Stegostoma tigrinum: one gene and its partners. The protein of the gene in region 3 interacts with the protein of the main gene of each other region in a pairwise test. Links are inferred from orthologs where the notes say so. Each region holds a gene or a part of one and is shown on either strand. Other genes may lie near its edges.

Region 1 (7,242 bases), on a different chromosome or scaffold from region 3:
CACGTTCCCTCTCTCTCTCTCTCCCCTCTCCCCCCCTTTCCCCCAGTTTACACGTTCCCTCTCTCTCTCCCCCTCTCCCCCCCCTTTCCCCCAGTTTACACGTTCCCTCTCTCTCTCTCCCTCTCCCCCCCTTTCCCCCAGTTTACACGTTCCCTCTCTCTCTCTCCCTCTCCCCCCCTTTCCCCCAGTTTACACGTTCCCCTCTCTCTCTCTCCCTCTCCCCCCCTTTCCCCCAGTTTACACGTTCCCTCTCTCTCTCTCTCTCCCTCTCCCCCCCTTTCCCCCAGTTTACACGTTCCCTCTCTCTCTCTCTCCCCCCCCCTTTCCCCAGTTTACACGTTCCCTCTCTCTCTCTCTCCCCCCCCCCTTTCCCCAGTTTACACGTTCCCCCCTCTCTCTCTCTCCCCCCCCTTTCCCCGGTTTACACGTTCCCCCCCCTCTCTCTCTCTCCCCCCCTTTCCCCCGGTTTACACGTTCCCCCCCCTCTCTCTCTCTCCCCCCCTTTCCCCGGTTTACACGTTCCCCCCCCCCTCTCTCTCTCTCTCTCCCCCCCTTTCCCCCGGTTTACACGTTCCCCCCCTCTCTCTCTCTCTCTCCCCCTTTCCCCCGGTTTACACGTTCCCCCCCTCTCTCTCTCTCCCCCCCTTTCCCCCGGTTTACACGTCCCCCCCCTCTCTCTCTCTCCCCCCCTTTCCCCCGGTTTACACGTTCCCCCCCCCTCTCTCTCTCTCCCCCCCTTTCCCCCGGTTTACACGTTCCCCCCCCTCTCTCTCTCTCCCCCCCCTTTCCCCCGGTTTACACGTTCCCCCCCCCCCCTCTCTCCCCCCCTTTCCCCCGGTTTACACGTTCCCCCCCCCCTCTCTCTCTCTCCCCCCCTTTCCCCGGTTTACACGTTCCCCCCCTCCCTCTCTCTCTCTCTCTCTCTCCCCCCCTTTCCCCCGGTTTACACGTTCCCCCCCCTCTCTCTCTCTCTCTCCCCCCCTTTCCCCCGGTTTACACGTTCCCCCCCCTCTCTCTCTCTCTCTCTCCCCCCCTTTTCCCCGGTTTACACGTTCCCCCCCCCTCTCTCTCTCTCTCTCTCTCTCCCCCCCCCCCTTTCCCCCGGTTTACACGTTCCCCCCCTCTCTCTCCCTCTCCCCCCTTTCCCCCGGTTTACACGTTCCCCCCCCTCTCTCTCTCTCTCCCCCCTTTCCCCGGTTTACACGTTCCCCCCTCTCTCTCTCTCTCTCTCTCCCCCCCCTTTCCCCCGGTTTACACGTTCCCCCCCCCTCTCTCTCTCTCTCTCCCCCCCCTTTCCCCCGGTTTACACGTTCCCCCCCCTCTCTCTCTCTCTCTCTCCCCCCCTTTTCCCCGGTTTACACGTTCCCCCCCCCTCTCTCTCTCTCTCTCTCTCCCCCCCCCCCTTTCCCCCGGTTTACACGTTCCCCCCCCCTCTCTCTCTCTCTCTCTCTCCCCCCCCCCCTTTCCCCCGGTTTACACGTTCCCCCCCCCTCTCTCTCTCTCTCCCCCCCCCTTTCCCCGGTTTACACGTTCCCCCCCCTCTCTCTCTCTCTCCCCCCTTTCCCCCGGTTTACACGTTCCCCCCCTCTCTCTCTCTCTCCCCCTTTCCCCCGGTTTACACGTTCCCCCTCTCTCTCTCTCTCCCCCCCTTTCCCCCGGTTTACACGTTCCCCCCCCCTCTCTCTCTCTCTCTCTCCCCCCCCTTTTCCCCGGTTTACACGTTCCCCCCCCCTCTCTCTCTCCCCCCCCCTTTCCCCCGGTTTACACGTTCCCCCCCTCTCTCTCTCTCTCTCTCCCCCTTTCCCCCGGTTTACACGTTCCCCCCCTCTCTCTCTCTCTCCCCCTTTCCCCCGGTTTACACGTTCCCCCCCCCTCTCTCTCTCTCTCTCTCTCTCTCCCCCCCCCCCTTTCCCCCGGTTTACACGTTCCCCCCCCTCTCTCTCTCTCTCTCCCCCTTTCCCCCGGTTTACACGTTCCCCCCCTCTCTCTCTCTCTCCCCCTTTCCCCCGGTTTACACGTTCCCCCCCTCTCTCTCTCTCTCCCCCTTTCCCCCGGTTTACACGTTCCCCCTCTCTCTCTCTCTCCCCCCCTTTCCCCCGGTTTACACGTTCCCCCCCTCTCTCTCTCTCTCTCCCCCCCTTTCCCCGGTTTACACGTTCCCCCCCCTCTCTCTCTCCCCCCCCCTTTCCCCCGGTTTACACGTTCCCCCCCCTCTCTCTCTCTCTCTCTCTCCCCCTTTCCCCCGGTTTACACGTTCCCCCTCTCTCTCTCTCTCCCCCCCTTTCCCCCGGTTTACACGTTCCCCCCCCTCTCTCTCTCTCTCTCTCCCCCTTTCCCCCGGTTTACACGTCCCCCCCCCCTCTCTCTCTCTCTCTCTCCCCCCCTTTCCCCCGGTTTACACGTTCCCCCCCCTCTCTCTCTCTCTCTCTCTCTCCCCCCCTTTCCCCCGGTTTACACGTTCCCCCTCTCTCTCTCTCTCCCCCCCTTTCCCCCGGTTTACACGTTCCCCCTCTCTCTCTCTCCCCCCCCTTTCCCCCGGTTTACACTTTCCCCCAGTTTACACATTCCCCCTCTCTCTCCCTTTCTCCCGATTTACACATTCAGTCTCTCCCCCCCGCCCCCACCTGCCGACGAAGTTCTCCAACACCGAGCTTTTGCCGGCGCTTTGCCCTCCCACGACGGCGATCTGCGGCAGGTCGAGATTACAGCTCTGACCGATGGAGCTGAAAGCGTCCTGCAGCTTGTTAACCAGCGGGATCAGATCCTCCATCCCCCGGTTCCCCATTGCGCCGCTCGGGGACTGATTCACTCCCAGCGCCTGAGGCCTGCGCTTCCGCTCACACCCTAGGCCCGCCGGATAACCGGGCACATCCCACTCGCCAGATCTACCGCCAATCATCCGAATCTAAGCCATTCATCGCACGGCCTGCCCTTGTAATGACGCCTTTCCTGGGTGCGTCACCCATTCTGGCCCAATTAGATTGGACATTCCTCCGTCAATCACAACATCGCTCATTCTGAATGGGTGCATTGGACATCAGTCAGATGTCACCACCCATATGACCAATCATTGGCTAAGGTCCCTGTCGATCATAGTGATTCCGTCACTGATTCGCTCCCCCGCGTTCCGAAAGCTGACCCGCCTTCCTCTCCAATATAACTGCTGGATGAACACAACAGGCCACGCAGCATCTTAGGAGCAGGAAAGCTTATGTTTCGGAAGGCTCTGGGCCCGAAACGTCAGCCTTTCTGCTCCTGAGATGCTGCTCGGCCTTCTGTGTCCATCCAGCTCCACACCTTGTTATCTCGGATTCTCCAGCATTGGCAGGTCCCATTATCCCCGCCTTCCTAACCCTTCATTGGCTTCTCCTGCACGTCAGTCATCCACGGCCAGAACCGATTGGAGACCGATGAGGTCATGCTTCCACCCTCCCTTCCCTGTTGTTACTGACCAGGAAGCGAACAGACCAGGATAACAAAGTGTGGAGCTGGATGAACACCGCAGGCCAAGCAGCATCTCAGGAGCACAAAAGCTGACGTTTCGGGCTCAGACCCTCCAGACGAACTGACGAAGCTGAGTACACACCCAGATACGTAGCATTGTGCCATACAGCAGGAAAGGTGCATAAAAACAACTGGAAAATAATCCAGAAGAAAATCTGAAATTTGAAAAAAAAATTGGAAAGACCTCAGGTGTTTAGACAATACCTCTGTAGAGAGAAACACATTTAACATTTCAGTAGTATCAGAGATAATGGGAACTGCAGATGCTGGAGATTCTCTGGATAATAAAATGTGAGGCTGGATGAACACAGCAGGCCAAGCAGCATCTCAGGAGCACAAAAGCTGACGTTTCGGGCCTAGACCCTTCATCAGATTTCAGAATCCTCTCCCAATCCCCCTCTTTGATGAAGGGTCTAGGCCCGAAACGTCAGCTTTTGTGCTCCTGAGATGCTGCTTGGCCTGCTGTGTTCATCCAGCCTCACATTTTATTATCTTAACATTTCAGTAGAATTGGTTTAAGTAAAAGATACTGTAATACAGGTTTCAAGCAGGTTGGCAGCAGGAATAAAAGAGTGGGGTGATGATGGATGATCTGTGATCATTTCAAAAGAAGGAAATTTGAAATAACGAAAAAAAAGTGGAGCATTTGAAAGGAAGTGGAAATGCATCAAGAAGCATGTAAATGACATTGACAGGACACTGAAATAGATCATATGGCCCCTCAGACTTGCTCTGCTGCTTTAACACAGTCATGGTTGAACTTGTTACTGGTGCTGCCAAACTACTGCTGATGGACATTGAAATTTCCCATCCAGCGTACCTGCTGTCCTTTGCCACCCCAAGTGGTGTTCAACGAGGAGCATTGATTCATAAACAAAGACCAGGATTTGGACTGGTATGTGGTGATCAGCACGAAGTTTCATTGCCTCTGTTTGACCTGATGCCACGAGACCTCATGGAGGCCCATGTCAATATTGAGGGCTCCCAACCAATTCTCCATGTGAAATAACTGCACGGAGGCTGGCGCCCCACCACCAAAATCATCCTTTATCTCCATGCACACGCTACACAGGCTGTAGCCAGCTAGCCGAGAGTCAGTCCCCTGAACTGAGGAGATTCTCAACTCCTGATCATATTGTTCAGCCAGGGCTTTCCTGACTAGGGTAACAAAGTGTGGAGCTGGATGAACACAGCAGGCCAAGCAGCATCTTAGGAGCACAAAAGCTGACGTTTCGAGGCTCGACCCTTCATCAAAGAGGGGGATTGGGAGAGGATTCTGAAATAAATAGGGAGAAAGGGGGAGGCAGATCGAAGGTGAACAGAGGAGAAGAGGGGTGGAGAGGAGACAGACAAGTTAAAAGGGGCGGGAATGGAGCCACTAAAGGCGAGTGTAGGTGGGGAGGTAGGGAGGGGACAGGTCAATGGGGCGTCCCATTGGGTTAGTAGGTAGGTAGGTAGATAGGAGATGGAGGTGTGGCTTGAGGTAGGAGGAGGGGATAGCTGAGAGGAAGAACAGGTTAGGGAGGTGGGGACGAGCTGGGCTGGTTTTGGGATGCAGTGTTTTGGGTTCCCTAGCAGAATTTGAGTTGCTATTCCTGCAACCTTCGGGTGGCATCGTTATGGCACTGCAGGAGGCCCAGGACAGACATGTTGTCTAAGGAAGGCGAGGGGGAGTTGAAATGGTTCGTGACTGGGAGGTGCAGTTGTTTATTGCGAACCAAGCAGAGGTGCTCTGCAATGCAGTCCCCAAGCCTCCGCTTGGTTTCCCCAATGTAGAGGAAGCCACAATGGTACAGCGGATGCAGTATACCACATTGGCAGATGTGCGGGTGAACATCTGCTTAATGTGGAAAGTCATCTTGGGGCCTGGGATGGGCGTGTGGGAGGAGGAATGGGGGCAAGTGTAGCACTTCTTGCGGTTGGAGGGGAAAGTGCCAGGCGTGCTGGGGTTGGAGAGGAGTGTGGAGCGGACAAGGGAGTCCCAGAGAGAGTGGTCTTTCCAGAAAGCACATAAGGGTGGGGATGGAAAAATGTCTTTGGTGGTGGTGTCGGATTGTAGACGGCAGAAGTGTTGGGAGGATGATGCATTATGTCCGGAGGTTGGTGGGGTGGTATGTGAGGATGAGGGGGATTCTCTTTTGGCGGGTATTGCAGGGACGGGGTGTGAGGGATGAGTTACGGGAAATGCAGGAGACATGGTCGAGGGTGTTCTCGAGCACTGCCGGGGGGGGGGGGGGGGGGGAGGAGTGGGGTGCGGTGCAGTTGCAGCCCCTGAAGAAAGAAGACATCTGGAATGTATGGGAGTGGAATGCCTCATCCTGGGAGCAGATGCAGTGAAGGCGAAGGAATTGGGAACAGGGGATGGAATTTCTTCAGGAAGGTGGGTGGGAGGTGGTGTATTCCAGGTAGCTGTGGGAGTCGGTGGGCTTGAAATGGATATCTTGAAATGGTGGTTGCCTGAGATGGAGACAGGAAGGGGAGGGATGTGTTGGAGATGGTACAAGTGAACTTGAGGTTGAGGTGGAATGTGTTGGTGAAGTGGATGAACTGTTTGAGCTCCTCTTGGGAGCACGAGGCGGCGCCGATATAGTCATCAATGTAACAGAGGAAGAGATGGGGTTTAGGGCCAGTGTAGGTACGGAAGAGGGACTGTTCCACATAACCTACAAAGGGGCAGGCATAGCTTGGGCCCATGCAGGTACCCACGGCCACCCCCTTTGTCTGTAGGAAGTGGGAGGAATCGAAAGAGAAGTTGTTGGGGGTGAGGACGAGTTTGGCTAGGCGGATGAGGGTGTCAGTAGAGGGGGTCTGGTCGGGCCTGCAAGACAGGAAGAAGCGGAGTGCCTTTAGGCCATCTGCACGGGGAATGCAGGTGTATAGGGACTGGACGTCCATGGTGAAAATGAGGTGTTGGGGAACGGGGAATTGGAAGTTCTGGAGGAGGTGGAGGGAGTGGGTGGTGTCATGGACATAGGTAGGGAGTTCCTGGAACAAGGGGGAGAAAATGGAGTCCAGATAGGTGGATTCGTGTTTGGTGGGGCAGGAGCAGGCGGAGACAATGGGTCGACCAGGGCCAGCAGGTTTGTAGGTTTTGGGAAGGAGATAGAAGTGGGCGTTGCAGGGTTGGGGAACAATGAGGTTGGAGGCTGTGGGTGGGAGGTCACCTGAGGCGATGAGGTTGTGGATGGTTTGGGAGATGATGGTTTGTTGCTCGGGGTGGGGGGGGGGGGGGTCATGATCCAGGGGGCGGTAGGAGGCGGTGTCGGAGAGTTGGCGTCTGGCCTCGGCGATGTAGAGGTCAGTGCGCCATACTACCACTGCGCCTCCTTGTCTGCGGGTTTCATGGTGAGGTTGGGATTGGAGCGGAGGGCTGCACTTTCTGCAGGGGAGAGGTTGGAGTGGGTGAGAGGGGTGGAGAGGTTGACGCGATTGATGTCTCAATGGCAGTTGGAGATGAAGAGGTTGAGGGAGGGTGGTGTCCAGGAGGAGGACTTGTGTTGGAGGCAGGTGAAGGGGTCAGCAGAGGGAGGGTTAGGCTCACAGTCAGAGAAGTAAGCATGGAGGCGAAGGCGGCGGAAAAACTGCTCGGCGTCCAAACCTGACTGGTATTCGTTATGTGTGGATGGAGGGGGAACAAAGGTGAGCCCCTTGCTAAGGACTGACCATTCATCCTCAGTCAGTGGGAGGTCTGGGGGGGGGGGGGGGGGGGGGAAGGTGAAGATTCGACAGGGCTCAGTG
Region 2 (7,486 bases), on a different chromosome or scaffold from region 3:
ATTATTTTTCTGGTGATTAAACGTCTGAGGCTACATCTGGCAGCTGTGGTCAGACACGATATTGGTACTTTGGAGCAATTCCTTTGGAGTAATTTGGGCTTATACTTCTTCTTAAATGTTCTTGTTCCCTGTGGTCATAAAAACATTTACAGCTTTACAGTTAAAATATTGTTTAGTGTTGTCGATCATTTATGTAAGCACTAATGTTACATCCTTTATGTCAGAGAGCACCAGACTGTTCAGTACTTAGTTAAATTATCACTGACCTGAAGATCATAACAATAATATCTCTTGAATAAATAATTGATTGCAAATTGTTCTAACATTTTGAGGAAGACATGTTGGGGAAGAGATTATCTAGCAATCCAAGACCAATTGCAAATGAACAAATCATTCTCGCTCATACTTTCCATGTAAAATAGACTGGTTTCCAGTGAGAAATAATATCATTTAGCTTCCTGAATCTGTACCAACATATAGTTTGATCATTGGTTAGTCCAAGATTGGCAGCCTTTTTAAAATCAAAAATTAGTGAGATTGTCAACTCAGTGTGTTAAGCATCCTCTGGTGTGACTTCATTCCCTATTTTGGCAGGGCACTCTGCTGCATTTGCTGCAGAGGTAAATGAGGGTGAGAGAGTACATAACTTGCTTGTCTGTTTTCTCTGGGCCCCGTTTACGGCCACCTGTGCCTTTAGTTTTAGTTTGCCTCTTCTAATGCCCTTCCAGCCAATCCATCTGAGTGGGCATTACAATCAACAACTGTTGCATTTGCACAACTTGGTGAGAGTGCGTCTTGGATGAGTGGCTCACATTCGGTATTGCACTCGAGTGACTCAAATTTACTGTTCCAATTATGCTTTTTGGAGAGAATGGCCTGCCTTCTGTGTCGCATTTTGTGGGAGGCACCCACAGTTGGTGCCGCAGTGTAGAGAGAGTGGCCAGTTCTGGGGAGAATAAACCATGGTTCACAGAGCTTTTTTGGGCAATGGCCTGAGAGTTGCATTGCTTTCTGGGGTGAGGGGTTCACAGTCAGCATTATGTTCATGGGCAAAAACAGAAGTTGCTGGAATAGCTCAGCAGGTCTCAGCAGAACTGAGGAAGGGCTACTGGACCTGAAATATTAACTCTGATTTTTTTTTTCTGCACAAATGCTGCCAGAGCTGTTGAGTTTTTCCAGCAACTTCTGTTTTTGTTCCTGATTCACAGCACCTGCAGTCCTTTTTACATTCATGGGGCAAGAGGCTTGCTGTTGGCATTGCTTTCTGGAGGGTGGAGCTACTGGTTGGCCAAGCTTTCGTGTGCAAGGGACCTGAGAGTCATATTGCTTTCTGGGGTGAAGGGTTTGTAGTTGGTGTCAAATTTGAACACTCTGCAAAGAGTGGCCCTCAGTTGAGCACTCTTGGGACGCTGACACGGTCAGACAGTCTGGGGTTGGTGGCCTGTGTTGACCAGTATGGGAACTGTGGCTTGTAGCCAGCCTTGCATTCATGGGCATATCAGTTGAGTGGTCTGGGAAAGTGGCTCACGGCTGAGCAGTACGGGAACAGTGGCCTGTGTTTGAGCCGTTTTGGGATAGTTGTCCACGGTTAAGCATTCTGGGGAGACTGGACAGATGTTGGTGCTGGATACCCTGGGGGAGGGCAGCCCTGTCAGCGTTACATTCTGGTTGAGGGGCCTGCTATTGGTGTTGTATTTGTGGGGTAAGCGGGTAGTGGTTTGCATCACGTTCTGCGGAGAGTGGTCCATGGTTGAGCAGTCTAGGGAAAGTGGCCTGTGGTTGCCGTTGCTTTTTGTAGGGTGGGACCTATAGTTGGCTGAGCATTCTAACCAAGGAGCCCCAGGGTCGGCATCGCGTTCTGATTAGAATGGACAACTGTTGATGCCACATTCTATATATCACATTGACTGGTGAGGAAACCTGCAGTTAGCGTTGCGTTCATGGGCCACGTTGGTGGCAGAGCAGTATGGGAACAGTGCCCAAAGTTGATGGCACATGCGGTCAGTCTGGGAAGTGCGACATGCAGTTGAGCTTTCTGGGGTGAGGGGCCTAATGTTGTTTCCTAACATTCTAGGTGACTTGCTTGCAGTAGCTTTGCCTTCAGTTATTCTGGAAAGAGTAGTCCGTAGTCATTATGCTGGTGAGGTCTTTTCTGGAATTTTCTGTCCAGTTCTGATCACCCTGTTATAGGAAGGATATTATTTATTAGGTTGGAGAAGTTTCAGAAGAGATTGGTCAGGATGTTTCCAGGAATAAAGGATTTGAGTTATAAGGAGGGGTTGGACAGACTGGGACTTCATTCACTGGAATGCAGGAGGTTGAGAGATGATTTTATAGAGGCTTATAAAATAATGAGACATACAGATAAGGTGAATGGTAGGTATCTTTTCTCTAGGTGGGGGATTTCACGACTGGGGGCTTATTTTTAAGCTGAGAGATAGAAGATTTGAAAAATGCACGAGGGGCAGTTTATTTGCACAGAGTGGTTGGTGAGTGGAATGAACTTGCAGGGAATGTGTTAGATGCAGAAAAGTTACAATGTCTAAAAGACATTTAGTTAACTACATGAATAAGAACTGTTCAGAGGGCTATGGGCCAAGTGCAGGCAGGTGGGACTAATTTCGTTGGAACTGTAGTCGGCATGAACTGGTTTCTGTGTTCTCTGACTCTGCCTCTAGTTGAAAAGTCTGAAGAGATTACATGCTGTCGAGCAGTCTCGGATGGGTGGGCAGAATTTGAGCCATCTTCGCTGTTTTGCAATATATTGAAAGGGACGTATAGTCAGTGTCGCATTCGAGCAGGCTGAAGTGAGGGGCCTGTGGTAGATGTCTCATTGTGGGATGAAGGGCCCATGTTTGGCATTGCATTCTGGTCAGATTGGCCCACTGTGAGCGTCAGTCCAATTAGGGGGCCTGCAGTTGATATTGCCTACTGGGTCCAGCAGCCCGTGTCGGTGTTGCAGTCTGGGGGAAGGGGCAAGTGGTCAGCTGTTGAACAGTGTGGTCTGATTGGCCAGAGTTTGAGCAGTTGGGGAATATGTCACGGTGGAGGAGGATCGGACCTGGGATCCAAGCTGGAATGAACTCTGATGAATGGCCTGTGTTTATGCAGTCTTGGAAAAATGGGCCATGATCACCATTGTAGTCTTTGAAAGTTGCATGTGTTCAAACAGTATGGGACAAGTGGTCTATGGTCATCTAATCTGGGAAGTGTGGCCCACAGTCAGTGTTGGAGTCTGGAAATTTGGTCTGCATTCGGCATCGCAATTGAGCTATCTGCTTTGAGCGAATTGAAATTGGAGTTGTAGACATGTATTTTGGAGAGAACAGTTGGCAAGCCTAGGGCAATTGGACTGACATTGGCATTGCTTTTGTGCCCTGTGTGGAGAGAGCCAGGCAGTCAAGATGTTTGCAGTGTGTGGACTACGGTTGAGCCATCTGACGCATGCCCGCAATCGATCAACGTGTAAACAGGACCCTTACAATGATGTCATTCTGGGATAGTACCCTGCGGTTGAGCATTTTTGGAAGAGTAGTTAGCAATCAGTGTGGCATTTTGTGGAGAGGGTCCTGTGGTTGGTATCATGGTCTGGCCAGAAAAACGTGTGCTATGCCTCGGGTGATTGATTGCCAGAGGGCAGTGCAGCCTGGTGCAAAGGGTGTGCGGGCGTGGTCATATTCTAGGGAGAAGGGTATACAATTAGCTTTGCATTCAACAAGTGGTCTGCAGTCAAGCAGTGTGGGGAGAGTAAACGCAGTCAAGCAGAGGGAGGTGGTTTGCCAGATTTCAAGTTGTTTTTAGTTGTTAAGCTGTCTAGTGAGAAGGTCCTGCATTTGTGTTGCAGGCTGGGGTGAGGGCGCATGCTATCAGAGTCACATTCTGGGGTGAGGCCCCCGCAGCAGATGTTACATTCTGAGGCGAGGGGTCCAAGTGCGCTGTCGACTTCCGGGATGAGGGGCCTGTGTGCAATGTCACGTTCTGGGCCGAGGAGCCTGCGGTCAAAGTCACATTCTGGGGCGGTGGGCTCATGATTGGAATCACATTCTGGGGCGAGGCACCTGTGTGTGATGTCACATTCTGGGGCATGGGGTGCACGGCCAAATTCCTCTACTGGGGCAAGTGACCCATGGGTGAAGCCGCATTCTTGGGAACAGGGGTCTATCACTGCCTTGCTCTCCTGCTCTCCCCTCTGTGTCTCTCTGTCTGTCTGTCTCTTGCTGTCTCTGCTCGCTCTTGCTCCCCACTCTCATGCTGTCTATATTTGCCTCTCTACATGGTCCTTAATCAATCAGCCTCAGCATTGTAGTATCCCTATCATTTTAAATACTGTACCAAAAACCCTTGCCTTCTAACAAAATCCTGGAGTTGTGACAGAACTTCTAAAATTAAAGAAAACAACAGCTAGTCGATGCTCTGGGGAAATACATAGTCACAGGGACAGCTGCCTGGAACCATCATTCAGTTAGAAAATCCAATTCGCACAACAACTCTAAAAGAACAGTGAACCGGATCTAAGGCAACAACTAACTGAGAAATCATGGAACCTTACAGCTACCAAGACATCCAGCATCAACGAATATGCATGATGTGAAGCAGCCATTGTTGGGCTGGGGTGGACAAGGTCAGAAATCACACGACACCAAGTTACAGTCCAACAGGTTAATTTCAAAACACGAGCTTTCGGACCCTCAGTCCTCCTTCACATGTTAGTGTAAGAGGTAGTATCAGACACAATTTGTAAGTAAAAGATCAAAGGATCACAACATTGAGGATATCCTAAAGAAACATAGGATGCTGTTAAATCTTTAATCTTGGTCCGGAGAGAACTCAAGGTTTTATCAGTGTAAACAAGGGTGACATTTTACATCAGATAGTTCATGTTAGATGTGAGACCTTGATTAGAATGTGTTTATGTTTTAGATTAGAATCAAAGTAGTTTTATTTCTAAAGTATGAATTTATAAAACCATACATTGACTGAATGCCTACAAATTGTGTGCTTTTTGAACAAAATGGAATGTATCAGCAAATACAAATTCACTCAATAGATTTAGTGTATGTCTACCTGTGTGTGTGTGTGAGGGTGTTCAGAGAGAGAGAGAGAGAGTGTGTGTGTGTGTGTGTGTGTGTGTGTTGGGGGGGAAGTCTGTGTGTGTTTGTTGGTGGCGAAGTGTGTGTGTGTGCGTGTGTGTGTGTGTGAGTTGAGGGGGAAGTGTGTGTGTGTGGGGGGGAATGTATGTGTGTGTGTGGGGGGGCGGAATATGTGTGTAAGTGGGGGGGGAATGTGTGTGTGTGGGGGGGGGAATGTGTGTGTGTGTGTGGGGGGGGGAATGTGTGTGTGTGTGTGTGGGGGGGGAATGTGTGTGTGTGTGTGTGGGGGGGGAATGTGTGTGTGTGTGTGTGGGGGGGGAATATATGTGTGTGTGTGGGGGGGGGAATATATGTGTGTGTGTGGGGGGGGGAATATATGTGTGTGTGTGGGGGGGATTATGTGTGTGTGTGGGGGGGGATTATGTGTGTGTGTGTGGGGGGGGATTATGTGTGTGTGTGGGGGGGGGATTATGTGTGTGTGTGGAGGGGGATTGTGTGTGTGTGGGGGGGGGATTATGTGTGTGTGTGTGGGGGGGGGATTATGTGTGTGTGTGTGGGGGGGGGAATATATGTGTGTGGGGGGGTATGTGTGCGTGTGTGTGGGGGGGAATGTGTGCGTGTGTGTGGGGGGGAATATGTGTGTGTGTGGGGGGGGAAGACGTGAGTGTGTGTTGGGGGGAATATGTGTGTGTGGGGGGGAATGTGTGTGTGGGGGGGGAATGTGTGTGTGTGGGGGGAATGTGTGTGTGTGGGGGGAATGTGTGTGTGTGTGTGGGGGGAATGTGTGTGTGTGTGTGGGGGGAATGTGTGTGTGTGGGGGGAATGTGTGTGTGGGGGGGGAATCTGTGTGTGTGTGTGGGGGGGAATCTGAGTGTGTGTGTGGGAGGAGGAGAATGTGTGTGTGTGGGGGGGGGAGTGTGTGTGTGTGTGTGTGTGTGTGTGTGTGTGTGTGGGGGGGGGGGAGAGTGTGTGTGTGTGTGTGTGTGGGGGGAGGTGTGTGTGTTGGGGGGGGAATGTGTTTGTGTGTGTGGGGGGTGCGAAATTGTGTGTGTGTGGGGGGAGGGAATGTGTGTGTGTGGGGGGAGGGAATATTTGTGTGTATGTGGGGGGGGAGTGTGTGTGTGTGTGGGGGGGGAGGGAATGTGTGTGTGTAGGGGGGGAATGTGTGTGTGTGGGGGTGGGGGAGAATGTGTGTGTGTAAGGGGGGAATGTGTGTGTGTAGGGGGGGAATGTGTTTGTGTGTGTGCAGGGGGGGGAATGTGTTTGTGTGTGTAGGGGGGGAATGTGTGTGTGTGGGGGGGAATGTGTGTGTGTGGGTGGGGGGGAGTGTGTGTGTGTGTGTGTGTGTGGCGGGGGGAGAATGTGTGTGCGTGGGGGGGGAATGTGTGTGCGTGGGGGGGAATATCTGTGTGTGAGTGGGGGGGGAATGTGTGTGTGTGTGGGAGGGGATTGTGTGTGTGTGTGGTGGGGGGAAATGTGTGTGGTGGGGGGGAAATGTGTGTGGTGGGGGGGAAATGTGTGTGTGGTGGGGGGGAAATGTGTGTGTGGTGGGGGGGAAATGTGTGTGTGGGGGGGAAATGTGTGTGTGGGGGGGGAATGAGTGTGTGTTGGGGGGGAATGAGTGTGTGTGGGGGGGGAATGTGTGTGTGTGGGGGGGGAATGTGTGTGTGTGGGGGGGGAATGTGTGTGTGTGGGGGGGGAATGTGTGTGTGTGGGGGGGAATGAGTGTGTGTGGGGGGGAGGAATGTGTGTGCGTGTGTGAGTGTGGGGGGAATGTGTGTGTGTGGGGGGGGGAATGTGTGTGTGCGTGGGGGGGGAATATGTGTGCGTGGGGGGGGAATGTGTGTGTGTGGGGGGGGGGGAATGTGTATGTGTGTGGGGGGGAATGTGTGTGTGTGTGGGGGGGGAATGTGTGTGTGTGCGGGGGGGGAGAATGGGTGTGTGTGTGTAGGTGGGGGAGGGGAATGTGTGTGTGTGTGTGTGTGTGTGTGTGTGGGGGGGGGAATGTGTGTGTGTGTGTGTGTGTGTGGGGAGTGTGTGTGTGTGGAGGGAATGTGTGTGTGTGGGGGGAATGTGTGTGTGGGGGGGGAGGGGAAATGTGTGTGTGTGTGTGTGTGTGGGGGGGGGGGGAGTATGTGTGGGGGGGGAGTGTGTGTGTGTGGGGGGGAGTGTGAGTGTGTGGGGGGGAATGTGTGCGTGTGTGTGGGGGGGAATGTGTGCGTGTGTGTGGGGGGGAATGTGTGTGTGTGGGGGGGAATGTGTGCGTGTGTGTGGGGGGGAATGTGTGTGTGTGGGGGGGAATGTGTGTGTGTGTGTGTGGGGGAATGTGTGTGTGTGTGTGTGGGGGAATGTGTGTGTGGGGGAATGTGTGTGTGTGTGGGGGGAATGTGTGTGTG
Region 3 (7,090 bases):
CTTTAAGGTAGAGATTGATAGACTCTTGTTAGGTAAGGGAACAGATAGATTTTCAGGGCAAATGGCAATGTGGATTTCAACCAGAATCTATTGAACAAAGGAGCCATCTTAAAGAGTTAAATGGCCTACTGCTGCTAAGATGTATTTAACAAAGACATAAGTACGTATTGAATCTAAGGAGGCTGCTGAGTACTTTAGCATGTCAAGCCAAAGATGGAGTGGTTGTTTAAGCTATTTGCAGTAAAGTTCAAGTGTATGACAGCCCCAGGAGTAAGGTATCAGAGTTCGAGTTTAACTGGCGTGAATATTACATGAATGATGCTTGTATACTGTACCAGGAGTGATGGTTTGAGAACAGTGCCAGGAGTGTTCTGAGCAAGATATTAAAAGCAGCTTGGCTTCATTTTAATTTATAAAGGTGTTTTTGGGATTAATGGGATTCTAATGTGTTTAAAACCTTGCAATTTGTACCATAAGTAGTTTGGATTATTCTATCATTGTTTCTTTTTAATAAACTAGTTTGGTCAGTGAAACAAAATCTGGAGCATTATGTGCTCAAGTCTATGTCAGAGACCATGTTTCTAAAACCAAAACAAATAAAATTATGATCTATCAAGTCAGGTTCCTGTCTGGCATTCAAGTTATCCAGTAATAATATCAGCTGGGTTCATTACACAAAATAAAGCTAGCATGAAAAATCATTAAAAATCCATCTGGTTCACTCACATGTTTTATGACAGGAAATCTATCCTACTTACCCAGTCTGCGTATATGTTGCTCTGGATCAAAGCAATGTTGTGAACTTTTAATTGCTGCCTGGAATGACCTAACAAACCATAGAGTACAAGGGCAATTAGGGATGAGCAACAGATGCTGATCCCATGAAACAATATAGGAGAAAAGGACAGTCTAGACAGAGTAATTAACGAAAAATTTCTCATCTATTGAGTCTTTCAAAATGAGAAGGCACAGATTTAAGGTAACAGGCAAAAAACATGAGAAGCTTTTTCCTGTAGGTTGGGATCTGAAATGCACTGCTAAGAGTACAGTGGAGGCAAGTTCACTTGATATATTCAAGAAGGAAATGGGTTATTGTCTGAAAAGGAGGAACATATAGCTTACGGAGAAGATGAGTGTGTGGCAGAAGCGGAAGAATACAAGATTCTGTGAAGTACACAAATTTGCTTTTAAACATTAAGTTTGCTTCGACCCCCCTTTATTAAGTGCATTCCAACTTTGAACAAACTGCTGCCTAACATTCTCTTCAACAATCATCTAGTTCTTTTTCCAATTATCTTGTATATGTTTTGGTTTTGATCCTTTTGTCACCTCAGTTAGCTTTGAAAGGAAAAGTTTGTACATTCAATTCTGGGGGGTCTGAAAAAGTAGGAGAGAGTGTTTCCTCTTGGGGAGGAAGGGCAGAAGAGAAACAATGGGCTTCCCAGTTAAAACAGAGGTGAGGAATTTCTTCTCTAGGAGTGTCATTAATTTTTGCAGTTCTGTGTCACGTAGTACAGTTGAGACTAGGTCATTGAACATATTTCAGACTAAGTTGGACAGATTTGTGATCAAGAATGAGTTTAGTGGCTTTTGGGGAGGGGGGTGGCAAACGATCTACTTCTCGTTCTGATGCTCTTATACAGAATAAGAGAAAATAGGGTTCGCCAAATAAGTACAAGTATTAGTAAATAAATATACATGGCATTTTACAATACACACACATATGTAGCCAGCTTATCTGCTATATTGTTAGGTACAAGAGTCAGAATTATATAGGTCTTGCATAACTAGGCATAAATTGTAAAGTTTTAATGAGTTATTTACAGTATGTATGAACTAAAAGAATACAAATAAATAGCTGCATAATCAATGAAATTTACCACAATTATTATGAGTTAGTAATATCTTATGACATTTTATGTAGAATCAAGGCCTGTGCTGCCTTAAAAGATATAAAGTTATATGGTGAGAGATAATCAGATCAGGAATCAGTTGAAATTTAGTCCCCATTTGAACATTTTACATCATCTTTATTTTCATATTTTGACAATTCCAACACCCATATCTATATGGGAAATGTATGCAAGTTTGTCACATTGTAATCACAACCAACATTTCACTATATTGGGCATCAATTCTCCCTAGCCAATTCCCTATCAGAAACAGATGAACTTCCACACATTAGTCACCGAACAATGATCACCTATATTGAAGTAAAACTGTAAAAACATAACTTTACCAACTATTGTGAGTCAGCTGGTTGACAAATTGTGCTCTTGTATCATGCAGTAACAAGTGTTGCTCAATACTCAAGTGCTGCTGTCATTTTTGAGCCTCACACAAAGGTAATTAAAGGTGTATTACGAAAAACTCTCTCTTAAATGCTTTATGGGAATGATCAGAAATATTTTGGATCAGAAACAGGACATCAAAGACTGTTACAAACAACATATTTAAAACTTCAATAAACTAGGGGTGGGGGAGGAGAGGGGGAGGCAGCTCAGTTAGGGTGGAGAAGGGTTAAGGCCTCTCAGTCGGAGTGGGTGGGACAGAGGGTGAAAGCCCCTCAGTCGGAGTAGGTGGGGCAGAAGATGAAGGCCCCTCAGTCGGAGTGGGTAGGGCAGGGGGCGAAGACTCCTCAGTCGGAGGAAGGGGGGGTCAGGGAGTGAAGGCCCCTCAATCGGCAGGGGAAAAGGGTTGAAAGTACCCCCCCACTCGGGGAGAAGAATACTTCCTCCCCCGTCTACACCGTTTGGGAAGCTCACAGCTCCCCTTGTCCTACCCGACTCCATCCCCAACCTTAGGGAGGGGTGTGTGAACGTGTGTGTGTGTGCGTGTTTTTTTTCCCCCTTTGCAACACGACGTCGAACGCCACTGCGGCCGTTCCTCTCAGGGCCCGAGGAGCTCCCACCTCGACCATTTTAAACAGTAATTTCCGCATCAACTCACTTTCTCGTGAAATATCGCCTCCATGATGGACGATGAACCATCATCCTGTGCGGCGTGACTACACCCACTGGGGGCGGGGTCAAAGCGAGAACCAATCATCGGCCTGCTCATACGCATGCGTATAGAAACGCACAGTCGCCCTAGCAACGTAACACAGCGAGAGACGCGGGGGTGTCCCTGAGGCTGAGGCCCGGCTTGGACACAGCCGGCCTGGGTTTTAGATCTACACCGAGTGCAGTCACTTCTCTTCAGAAACCGACTAAAATGTCCGGAATTTTAGGAAATCAATGCCGATCCGGAGTTTCCTGTATCACAGTTGACGCCGGCCTGTTGCTGGCGGAAATGTACTATTGTCCCTCCTATTGTGCAGGACCAGACAGGAATGTTGTCGGAGATAATGGGAACTGCAGATGCTGGAGATTCCAAGATAATAAAATGTGAGGCTGGATGAACACAGCAGGCCCAGCAGCATTTCAGGGGCACAAAAGCTGACGTTTCGGGCCTAGCCCCTTCATCGGGTCTCGGCCCGAAACGTCAGCTTTTGTGCCCCTGAGATGCTGCTGGGCCTGCTGTGTTCATCCAGCTTCACATTTTATTATCTTGGATTCTACAACATCTGCAGTTCCCATTATCCCAAATAAATTGCAGATGCTGGAAATCTGAAAAACGAAACCCACAAAAACTGCTGGAATTTCTCAGCAGTTACGGCAGCACAGATTAGAAGTTGGGGAAGCATGAGAGTATAGAAATGTAATTCTTATCGTCGACATGGACAAGTTGGACCGAAGGGTCTGTTTCCGTGCGGAATACCTTGCATCTGCTGATCAGTTTCAGGAGTAGCTTCAGGACAGTTCTGGGGAAGGGTCATCAGACCTGAAACATTAGCTCTTTTTTTCCTTCACGGCTGCTGCCAGACCTGCTGAACTTTTCCAGCATAACCATAAGACCATAAGACATAGGAGTGGAAGTAAGGCCATTCGGCCTATCAAATCCACTCTGCCATTTAAATCATGGCTCATGGGCATTTCAACACCACTTCCCTGCACTCTCCCCGTAGCCCTTGATTCCTTCTGAGATCAAGAATTTGTCGATCTCTGCCTTGAAGGCAACAAAGTGTGGAGCTGGATGAACACAGCAAGCCAAGCAGCATCTCAGGAGGACAAAAGCTGACGTTTCAGGCCTAGACCCTTCAACTTTTCCAGCAACTTTGTGTTTCTGATTTACAGCATCCGCAGTTCTTTCATTTTTTTAAGCTTCAGGAATCGGCTTGCCTGCCTGTGCCTATACAATTGGAAACAAAGCAGTTAGTGTCTTCTGTCTGAAATTTTATTTGATTTATTGTAGTCACGTGTACCTGAGTACAGTGAAAAGCTTTGTTTGTGAGCAGCACTAGCAGATTATAGTAAGCAGGGATATACAGAACTTAGGGTGCTTAAATAGAATGAGGCATACAGGTTACACTGCGCAGGAGGATCACCTTTTTGAAGTTAGAAAGTCCATTCATCAGTCTAATAATAGCAGGGAAGAAACCGTTCTTGAACCTGTTCGTACGTGTGTGGAGATTCCAAGATAATAAAATGTGAGGCTGGATGAACACAGCAGGCCCAGCAGCATCTCAGGGGCACAAAAGCTGACGTTTCGGGCCTAGACCCTTCATCGGGTCTCGGCCCGAAACGTCAGCTTTTGTGCCCCTGAGATGCTGCTGGGCCTGCTGTGTTCATCCAGCCTCACATTTTATTATCTTGGATTCTACAACATCTGCAGTTCCCATTATCCCAAATAAATTGCAGATGCTGGAAATCTGAAAAACAAAACCCACAAAAACTGCTGGAATTTCTCAGCAGTTACGGCAGCACAGATTAGAAGTTGGGGAAGCATGAGAGTATAGAAATGTAATTCTTATCGTCGACATGGACAAGTTGGACCGAAGGGTCTGTTTCCGTGCGGAATACCTTGCATCTGCTGATCAGTTTCAGGAGTAGCTTCCCTGTTGCCTTGAAGGCAACAAAGTGTGGAGCTGGATGAACACAGCAAGCCAAGCAGCATCTCAGGAGGGGGGCACAAGCTTCTGTATCTTCTGCTCAGAAGAGGTTGTATGAGAGCATTACCGGGGTGGGAGACATTTTGTTGATCTTGGCAGCCTTTCCACAGCAGCAAGAAGTGTAAATGGAGTCCATTAATAGAAGGTTGGCATCCATGATGGTCTGGCTGTGCACACAACCTTCTGTAGTTTCTTGTGGTCCTGGCAGAGCATTTGCCATACCAGGCCGTAATGTACCTGTTATTATGCTTTGTGTGGCGCATCTGTGAAAGTTGGTGAGGGACCTTGTGGACATGCTAAATTTCCTAAGCTGTCTGAGCAAGAATCTTTGTTGCGCCTTCTTGACCATCTATGTGGAAAGTTCAGGACGGGTTGTTGGTTATTGTCATTCCTAGGAACTTGATGCTTTCAATCTCTGCTCCCTTTATTATAGATGGGGACATGTTCATAGTTCTCAAGTGGCATTGAGAGATAGATTGGAAGATCTCCAATCATGGTTTTCAGCATCTTATAGATGCAGTGATCTGGGGCTTCTAGGATGTTTGGCTGTCACCAGAATAATGCACATTAGACTGGGATCACAATTACAAGGGCAGATTTGAAGGACAGTGGTTGGATTTGCACGTATGTAATTTTGTTGTTTGTACATGGCATCATTTTCCAGTCCCTTTGGATGCCAGTAGCACATGAGATTATGTTGCAGTGGATGTGGGCATTGATGGTTGGGCCAGCATCTATTGCCTATCCTTAGATGCCCTTGAGAATGTGGAAGTGAGGCACTTTGAATGGTTCCAGTACATTTTGTTTGGGTAGATCCACAATGCCATTAGGAAGGGAGTTGCAGAATTTTGACTCTGTGACATTGGAATAGCAATATATTTCCAAATTAGGGGCACTTGCAGTTGGTGATGTTATCTGCTAGGTGGGTGCTTGGAAGGTGCTATCTAAAGAGCCTTATGAATTTATGCAGTGTACCTTGTAGCTACTAGTGGGAGTGAATGTTTTAGGTGTGGTACCAGTAAAGTAGCTGCTTTGCCCCAAATTACGTCAAACTTCTTCAATATTGTTGCAGCTGCACCTATCCAGACAAGTGGGAAGTATTTTCCGTTGCATTTCTGACTTCTGCCATGTGAGTCAGGTGAGTTACTCACTGCAGGATTCCTAGCCTCTGAATAAGAAGGACTTTGAATGTCAAGGGACGATGGTTAGGTTCTCTCTTGCTGTGGATGGTCATTGTATGGTACTTGTGTGGCATGAACGTTCCTTGCCACTTGTTAGCCTAGTTACTGGCATCCGGACATGAACCAAAAACAATGATTTTTAAGAAATTAACAACACAGGATTTTAGGTGTAAGTCATGATTCAGTGGTAGTACTTTGCCTCTGAGTCAGACAATTTAATTTAAATCTAGTTATATGAACATAAATCTAGACTGACACTCCACTGCTACATGGATAGAGTGTAAACTTTGGTTAGAATAGCAGGCTCAAAGGGTTGAGTGGTCTACAATTGTTCCTTATTTGTATGAAAAGCAGGGACATTTTCCCACTATCCTGGCTATATTTATCCCATAACCAACATCAATAAAACCAAAATATGTAATTATCACACAGCTGTTTGTTGGACTTTCTAATTCAGGACAATGATTTTCAGTCTGGGGTTTGTGGAAACTTAACAGGTAATCTGTGAAATAATCTTTCAAATGAACAAGCAACAAAAACACAAGGTGGAAAAGAAAAGGAATAAAAAGGCAAGCCACCAGTTTTGTATAAATTATAGGTAGTCAATGTTCAATCCACACAAATAGCAGATGCCTGCTGTTGAGTAACATGGCCTTCTTCACAATGATGGGCACATCACTGCGAAGGGGATGAAAAGGAAGGTGGGAAACAAGCAGTTCATGGATGTCATACCAGGGTGCACTCAATTCAGATGTATAAATTGATTGTGTGCTATTATAATCACCTTCTGCTGTCATTTCAAATTAAATTGTTTGAATACTTGCCAACAATCTTATTAAGCCACTGAAATACTGCAGTTCCACTCCAAGATTTACAAAGTCCTCAGTCAAGTTCAGTAGGATTATTAAGAGCTCATAAT
Region 4 (7,768 bases), on a different chromosome or scaffold from region 3:
TCTGTCCACGTGTGGGTGTGTGCACATGCCCTTCTCTCTCTCTCTCCCCATCCACGTGTGGGTGCGCGCGCGCGCCCTTCTTCTCTCTGTCCACGTGTGGGTGTGTGCGCCTGATGTTTGAGGTGAGCTACTGGCTTGGATTGAGGATTGGCAGAGATTTGGGATAAAAGGCTCTTTTCCGGAATGGCAACAAGTGGTGTCCCGCCGGGTTCAGTGTTGGGGCTGCAGCTGTTCACTTTACATATTAATGATCTGGATAAAGGAACTGGGGGCATTCTGGCGAAGTTTACCAATGATACGAAGATAGGTGGGCAGGCAGGTAGTACTGAAGAGGTTGGGAGGCTGCAGAAAGATTTAGACAGTTGAGGAGAGTGGTCCAGGAAATGGCTGATGAAATTCAATGTGAGCAAATGCAAGGTTTTGCACTTTGGAAAAAAAAGAATACAGGCATGGACTATTTTCTAAATGGTGAGAAAATTCATAAAGCAGAAGTACAAAGGGGTCTGCAAGTGTTGGTCCAGGATTCTCTAAAGGTTAACTTGCAGGTAGAGTCTGGGATTAAGAAAGCAAATGTAATGTTATCGTTTATCTCAAGAGGGTTGGAATATAAAAGCAGTGATGTGCTTCTGAGACTTTATAAAGCTCGAGTTAGGCCCCATTTAGAATACTGTGTCCAATTTTGGGCCCCACACCTCAGGAAGGACATACTGGCCCTGAAGCGTGTCCAGCAGAGATTCACACGGATGATCCCTGGAATGGTAGGTTTAACATACGATGAACAGCTGAGGATCCTGGGATTGTATTCATTAGAGTTTAGAAGGTTGAGGGGAGATCTAATAGAAACTTACAAGATAATGTATGGCTTAGAAAGGTTGGACGCTGGGAAGTTATTTCCATTTGGCGTAGAGACTAGGACGCGTGGGCACAGCCTTAGAATTAGATGGGGTAAATTAAAAACAGAAATGAGGAGACATTTCTTCAGCCAGAGAGTGGCGAGCCTGTGGAATTCATTGCCACGGAGTGCAGTGGAGGCTGGGACGTTAAATATCTGCAAGGCAGAGATTGATAAATTCCTGATCTCACAAGGAATCAAGGGCTACAGGGAGAGCGCAGGGACGTGGAGTTAAAATGCCCATCAGTCATGATGAAATGGCGGAGTGGACTCGATGGGCTGAATGGCCTTACTTCCACTCCTATGTCTTATGGACCCCCCCCTCCGTGCGTGTGCTCGTGCCACCGACCCCTCTCCCTGCGTATGCGCGTGCCCCTGCCCCCTCTGTGTTTGAGCATGCACGTGTCCCTCTCTCCCTGCATGTGCGTACATACCACCCTCCCTCTCCCGATGTGTGTGCATGTTTTTCTCTCTCTTTGTCCCTATGTGTCTCTCTCTCTTTGTCTGTGTGTGTTTTTCTCTCTCTCTCTGTCTGTCCCTACGTGAGTGTGACTCTTGCTCTCTCTCCGTCCCTGTGTGTGTTTTTCTCTCTTTGTACCTCTCTCTCTCTGTCACTATGTGTGTGTGCATCACTTGCTCTCTCTCTGTCCCTGTGTGTTTTTCTCTCTCTTTGTACCTCTCTCTCTCTGTCCCTATGTGTGTGTGCGTCTCTCGCTCTCTCTCTGTCCCTGTGTGCGTGTCTCTCGCATTCTCTGTCCCTGTGTGCGCGCCTCTCGCTCTCTCTCTGTCCCTGTGTGCGCGCCTCTCGCTCTCTCTCTGTCCCTGTGTGCGCGCCTCTCGCTCTCTCTGTCCCTGTGTGCGCGCCTCTCGCTCTCTCTCTGACCCCGTGTGCGCGCCTCTCGCTCTCTCTCTGACCCCGTGTGCGCGCCTCTCGCTCTCTCTCTGACCCTGTGTGCGCGCCTCTCGCTCTCTCTCTGACCCTGTGTGCGCGCCTCTCGCTCTCTCTCTGACCCTGTGTGCGCGCCTCTCGCTCTCTCTCTGACCCTGTGTGCGCGCCTCTCGCTCTCTCTCTGTCCCTGTGTGCGCGCCTCTCGCTCTCTCTCTGTCCGTGTGCGCCTCTCGCTCTCTCTCTGTCCCTGTGTGTGTCTCGCTCTCTCTCTCTGTCCCTGTGTGTGCGCCTCTCGCTCTCTCTCTGTCCCTGTGTGTGCGCGTCTCGCTCTCTCTCTGTCCGTGTGCGCCTCTCGCTCTCTCTCTGTCCCTGTGTGTGTGTGTCTTGCTCTCTCTCTCTGTCCCTGTGTGTGTGCGCGCGTCTCGCTCTCTCTCTGTCCCTGTGTGTGTGTGTGTGTCTCTCGCTCGCTCTCTCTGTCCGTGTGTGTGCGTGCCTCTCGCTCTCTCTGTCCCTGTGTGTGTGTGTGTCACTCTCTCTCTCTGTCCCTGTGTGTGTGTGTGTCGCTCTCTCTCTCTGTCCCTGTGTGTCGCTCTCTCTCTCTGTCCCTGTGTGTGTGTGTGTCTCTCGCTCTCTGTCCCTGTGTGTGTGTCTCACTCTCTCTGTCCCTGTGTGTGTGTGTGTGTGTCTCGCTGTCTCACTCTCTGTCCCTGTGTGTGTCTCGCTGTCTCACTTTCTCTCTGTCCCTGTGTGTGTCTCGCTGTCTCACTTTCTCTCTGTCCCTGTGTGTGTCTCGCCGTCTCTCTCTGTCCGTGTGTGTCGCTCTCTCTCTCTGTCCCCGTGTGTGTGTGTCTCTCGCTCTCTCTCTGTCCCTGTGTGTGCGCGCCTCTCGCTCTCTCTGTCCCTGTGTGTGTGTGTCTCTCTCTCCCTCTGTCCCTCGCTCTCTCTCTCCCTCTGTCCCCGTGTGTGTATGTCTCTCTCTCTGTGTCCCTGTGTGTGTGTCTGTCTCTGTCCGTGTCCTTGTCTCTCTCTCCATCTCTCTGTCCCCGTGTGTCTCCCGCTCCCCACCTCTTCATTCCTGTCTAAATTTTTTCACTCTCCCCACCTCTCTCTCTCTTCCCATCACTATCCATGCATGCAGGTTTTTTTTCTCACCGAGATTCCGACATCTTCCAACCGGTGCGCTACCGTTTGTGGTCTCTACTCCCATTGGTCAGTTTGAATTCAAACTGCGTGCTTTTCCAGCAGCCGCGCACGCGTATCTCAATCCACCGCGCGACTCGTCATGGGAATTGTAGTTGTTTGTCGGGCTCAATGGTCATAGGCTACCTAAATAATTAGGTGAGACAGCTCCTACAGATAGAAAACAGTGATGTGCTCACATTAAATGCAAGAGCTAAACGGTCATCAATCTGAAATGTTAGATAACAAGGTGTAGAGCTGGATAAAAACAGCAGGCCAAGCCGTATCAGAGGAGCAGGAATGAAATGTTAATTCTGTTTCTTTCCACGGAAGCTGGCTAACCTGCTACGTCCTGTTTCTGCATAGGAGCAAATTACTGCAGATGCCAGACTCTGTACTGAAAACAAAAATGAAGGAAATCACAGCAAGTCAGGCAGCATCCACAGAGAGAGAGCAAACTAACGTTCACCATCTAGACGTCTCTTCTGATGAAGACGCGATGTCTTAGCATATTTTTCTCATTGCCAGGATCTGCAACTGCAACTGATGAAGGGTGGTTGTGAAGCCTGTTTCTCTATCCACGGGTGCTGCCAGACCTGCTGAGTTTTTTCAGTAATTTCTGTTTTTGTTTCAGATTTCCAGGGTCCATTTCTTTGTTTGTTCAATCCGATCTCTTGTATTAGCCCTAACTGTTCAAGCTGCTCTTTTTCTCATACTAGACTGGGTATTACCTCAGGGTCTGTTTTGAGTAGTGCCCGAAACTACATGTAGCTTCCAAGATAATAAAATGTGAGGCTGGATGAACACAGCAGGCCCAGCAGCATCTCAGGAGCACAAAAGCTGACGTTTCGGGCCTAGGCCCTTCATCAGAGAGGGGAATGGGGTGAGGGTTCTGGAATAAAGAGGGGGAGGCGGACCGAAGATGGAGAGAAAAGAAGAGCTGGAGACGAGAGTATAGGTGGGGAGGGGATAGGTCAGTCCAGGGAAGACGGACAGGTCGAGGAGGTGGGATGAGGTTAGTAGATAGGAGATGGAGGTGCGGCTTGGGGTGGGAGGAAGAACAGGGTAGGCAGGTAGAGACAGGCTGGACTGGTTTTGGGATGCAGTGGGTGGAGGGGAAGAGCTGGGCTGGTTGTGTGGTGCAGCGGGGGGAGGGGACGAACTGGGCTGGTTTTGGGATGCGGTGGGGAAGGGGAGATTTTGAAGCTGGTGAAGTCCACATTGATACCATTGGGCTGCAGGGTTCCCAAGCGGAATATGAGTTGCTGTTCCCAACCTGCAACATGTAGCTTCAATCTGTTTTAACCCGTATTAGATTTTTTTTTCCTTAAAAGGTTTTAAACATATTCAGTACTACTTACAATGTCTTGCAATGGTGAACCCATAAATCTGTGTTCTTCTAAATACAACTAACCCATTGAACAATCAGAATCTCTTCTAGTTTGTAGGTCTTCCTACTTCCATTGTTTTTCTGCCTTGATTTCTCCCTAGTCTTGATCATCTCTTTTCTCTCAATTACCAAAATTACCCCACTCAACCTGACATTTTTACTCCAATTAAGCATTGTCCTTAGTCTTGGTATCCCTTCTCTAATATAAATGAAATGTAAGTAATACAGCTAAATCTTCAGTATCCAGTAAGTGCAGAGCTCTCCTGTCAGAGGATATACACAAGTAATATGATATTTTACATTGTCAAAAATGAGTCTTTAATTCTCTCCAATTTCATATCATGTTACCAAGAAAATACAAGTGACCAACCCTCAGCTGCTTGCCAAAACCAATCAGTTGCTTCCCAGTTGCTTCATAACACAACTTTGGGGAGGTTTAATTAGCTCAATGAAAACTGAGGTAATTTTCCCTTCCTTAGGAAAATACCATTTTTTCACTTTGTACTTCCGCAACTGAGAACAGGAGCTTTCCTGTGGCAGATATATGAAACAGACAATGTATCAATCACAGAGCCTCATATCCAAACCCAAGTTCAGTACTTCACTTGGACTTAGCTGCAACCTTACTGATTACATTAACCTGGTTTAATATCCCAAAATTAATGATTTTTTTCACTTTGCCCCTCAGTTAATGGGGCAGTTACAGATTTATAGTCGACTGTATTATCATGAACAAGATCTAACTTTGGAAATGAAAACAGCAAGTATCATCTGCAATACCATTTTATTTACATAATTATTTCTACACAAAGCTTCATAATCACCTTATGTAGAACATCTGAGCCACATAAATAAGTTCTCTTCATTATTTAACAAATGAAGTTCTAGGTATTGAAACATCTAATATATAAAGCTGTAGCAAAGCCTTCATATGTTATAGTTACAATCAGAAATATAGACACTAGTTTCCCAACAGTTACAGTACAAGTAACATCCTGGAATATCCAGGACACAGGATCTGTGATGGATCACAGGTGCTCTCCTATGGTTTTGGTTGGGTTTCATTGTTAGATCAATGTAAAAGTGTAAGCTAGAGGACTCATTATGATTCAAGTCTCAACATACTACAAATTCAGGAACAAAATAAGTCTCTCAGCAATGCTGTAGAGGCGATCACAATTGTTTCATGAAATTATGCAACAGGACACTTGTTTCAAGGTGAAAAATCACACTACCATGTTCAGTTCCAGGGCAAAAAAGCTACAGACTAAATATTCACTATACACTGTCCCTGTCAAAAATTCCCAGGACAGGTGCATCATAGGGTTAGGACAGAGTAAAGCTCCATTTACACTGCCCTAAAGATACCCTTTATTGACAAACGTAAAGAAGTGTTCAAATAATTAATCAGAGCCAAAGTTAAGGTCTGTTGGCAATTGAGGACTCAAGCCACCGAAACATTTAAGTTATATAAAAGTGGACCAAAGTGGCAGTCAGGAATATTATGTGGACCATTAAGATCTTTTTAACTTTGGTAGTCAGAATGGAAAAGCAGGATTTTTCTTCTGAAGGTGTTAAACCTGAGAAAGTTTTAGAAGGGTCATGCTTGCACTCATACAAGAAAACAGAGATAACTCAAAAGGTGAAGCAAGTAATTATGCTTCCAAATGGCATATTGACCCTTATTTCAAGGTAATTGAAGAATAAGGGAATCTTAGTACAATTGAAGGGATCGGTTTGCTAGATGGCTAGTGCGTAGTTCGGAAAAATGCCAACAACACAGGTTTGGTTCTCATTTGGCTGAAGTAGACTTAAGAACTGTCTCCCCAAAAAACAGAATGCAGTGGAAAACAACCACTTTTTTCTTCTTCAGTCAAAAAGAAAACTGGCTCGCAATGAAGTGTCAATAGAGAACCAGAGGACACGCCTTCAAACAGAACACTCGCAGCACAGCAGTACAATTCTACAGGGGTTTAATGAGATACAGTGTGCAGTTAGGGTCTCCATATTTGAAGAGTATGTATTTTCATTGGAAGTGAAAATACCACCTCAAGGACTGTCTGTGTAGAGTTTGCACATTCTCCCAGTGCCTGGGTGGATTTCCTCCAGGCCTTCTAGTTTCCTCCCATAGTCCAAAAACATGCTGGATGGGTGAACAGGCCATGCTAAATTGCCCATCGTGTCCAGCAAATGAGCGGCAAGGTGGATTAGCCATGGGAAATGCAGTGTTAGACATAGGGGTGGGAGGGTGGGAAATGCAGTGTTAGACATAGGGGTGGGAGGGTGGGACATGCAGTGTTAGACATAGGGGTGGGAGGGTGGGACATGCAGTGTTAGATATAGGGGTGGGAGGGTGGGACATGCAGTGTTAGACATAGGGGTGGGAGGGTGGGACATTCTTTGGAGGGTTGTGTGGATTCAATGGGCTGAATGGCCTGCTTCCACATTGTAGGGATTCTAGGATTCTGTGATGCAGTGAAGGCTGGAAGGATTTTTAGGATGAAAGACAAGAGGCTGAGAAAATTGGGCCTATACTTTCATGAATTGAAAAGATTCATTGAAATGCAAGATTCCAAAGCAAATTAACTGGGTAGCGACACAGGCAGGGAATCTAGAACATGGGCACATTATCAAAATAAAGATGTGACCATTTAGACCATATAAATATATGAACAGGACACTTGAACCCGCATCGCCATTCAAACAAAGTTCCATTGTTGAATATTTTGAAGAAATCAATTGATTTTTGGTCTCAGTGAAGTACAGGTAACAGGCAGTATAGCTAAAGTGATAATTAGCCATGAACACATAGATGGACAAACGGGCTGAAGGTTCTTAATTAACACACAAGTTGACTGATAGTAACATAGTCATTTCTAATTATTAGATGTCCCTTGATGGTGCTGTAATGAGCGTAGTCCATTCCCCCACCTAACTGATTTTAAGACTGCAATTGTCACCAAAATGGCTGCAACCTCCTCATTGATTCCACTCTCAGTGCACCATGGGGTTCCCACCAGCATTTGCAGTGACAGATTCTCCCAAATTTTCAACCTTTATTCACCTATAACATAAAGGTCAGCAGATACCTTCAAGTTCCTCTGTAAGTCACACCCATCCAGACTTGGAATGATATTGTCATCCTTTCACTAGACATCACAAGGTGGAACTACATTGAAGCACATAGGAATCACATTTGTGCTTAACCTGTTATTGAGGTCATAATTTAAAAAATACCACAAAGTTATAGAACATTTATTATTTATAGTGCCAGAGTATTTATTTGGATAATAAATGTGAAGAATATTCAGCAAAAGGAGTCTCTGCAGTGGTGGATGGAACAAGATCATTAATATAGATATCTGACCAGGTTGCCTACATGAAAAAACTCAATTTTCACAAGTGTCAATCAGATATG

Evidence for each region.
Region 1: the proteins of atxn3 (region 3) and dnm2a interact in binary tests that used the Homo sapiens proteins (3 or more experiments, as listed by UniProt). The link is inferred for Stegostoma tigrinum from reciprocal best matches to the Homo sapiens genes ATXN3 and DNM2.
Region 2: the proteins of atxn3 (region 3) and tex11 interact in binary tests that used the Homo sapiens proteins (3 or more experiments, as listed by UniProt). The link is inferred for Stegostoma tigrinum from reciprocal best matches to the Homo sapiens genes ATXN3 and TEX11.
Region 4: the proteins of atxn3 (region 3) and arhgap19 interact in binary tests that used the Homo sapiens proteins (3 or more experiments, as listed by UniProt). The link is inferred for Stegostoma tigrinum from reciprocal best matches to the Homo sapiens genes ATXN3 and ARHGAP19.

Annotation. Positions count from the first base shown.
Region 1 is NC_081388.1:24,865,267-24,872,508, reverse strand, and holds the start of dnm2a (dynamin-3), read right to left. Parts: upstream 3,010-7,242; 5' UTR 2,900-3,009; coding exon 2,625-2,899; intron 1-2,624. UniProt on the Homo sapiens protein: Catalyzes the hydrolysis of GTP and utilizes this energy to mediate vesicle scission at plasma membrane during endocytosis and filament remodeling at many actin structures during organization of the actin cytoskeleton.
Region 2 is NC_081368.1:40,548,646-40,556,131, reverse strand, and holds the start of tex11 (testis-expressed protein 11), read left to right. Parts: upstream 1-4,477; 5' UTR 4,478-4,578; coding exon 4,579-4,621; intron 4,622-7,486. UniProt on the Homo sapiens protein: Regulator of crossing-over during meiosis. Involved in initiation and/or maintenance of chromosome synapsis and formation of crossovers.
Region 3 is NC_081363.1:27,980,080-27,987,169, reverse strand, and holds the start of atxn3 (ataxin-3), read right to left. Parts: upstream 3,018-7,090; 5' UTR 2,974-3,017; coding exon 2,950-2,973; intron 827-2,949; exon of another isoform or gene 759-826; intron 1-758. UniProt on the Homo sapiens protein: Deubiquitinating enzyme involved in protein homeostasis maintenance, transcription, cytoskeleton regulation, myogenesis and degradation of misfolded chaperone substrates.
Region 4 is NC_081373.1:16,270,946-16,278,713, reverse strand, and holds the start of arhgap19 (rho GTPase-activating protein 19), read right to left. Parts: upstream 3,023-7,768; 5' UTR 2,948-3,022; coding exon 2,934-2,947; intron 1-2,933. UniProt on the Homo sapiens protein: GTPase activator for the Rho-type GTPases by converting them to an inactive GDP-bound state.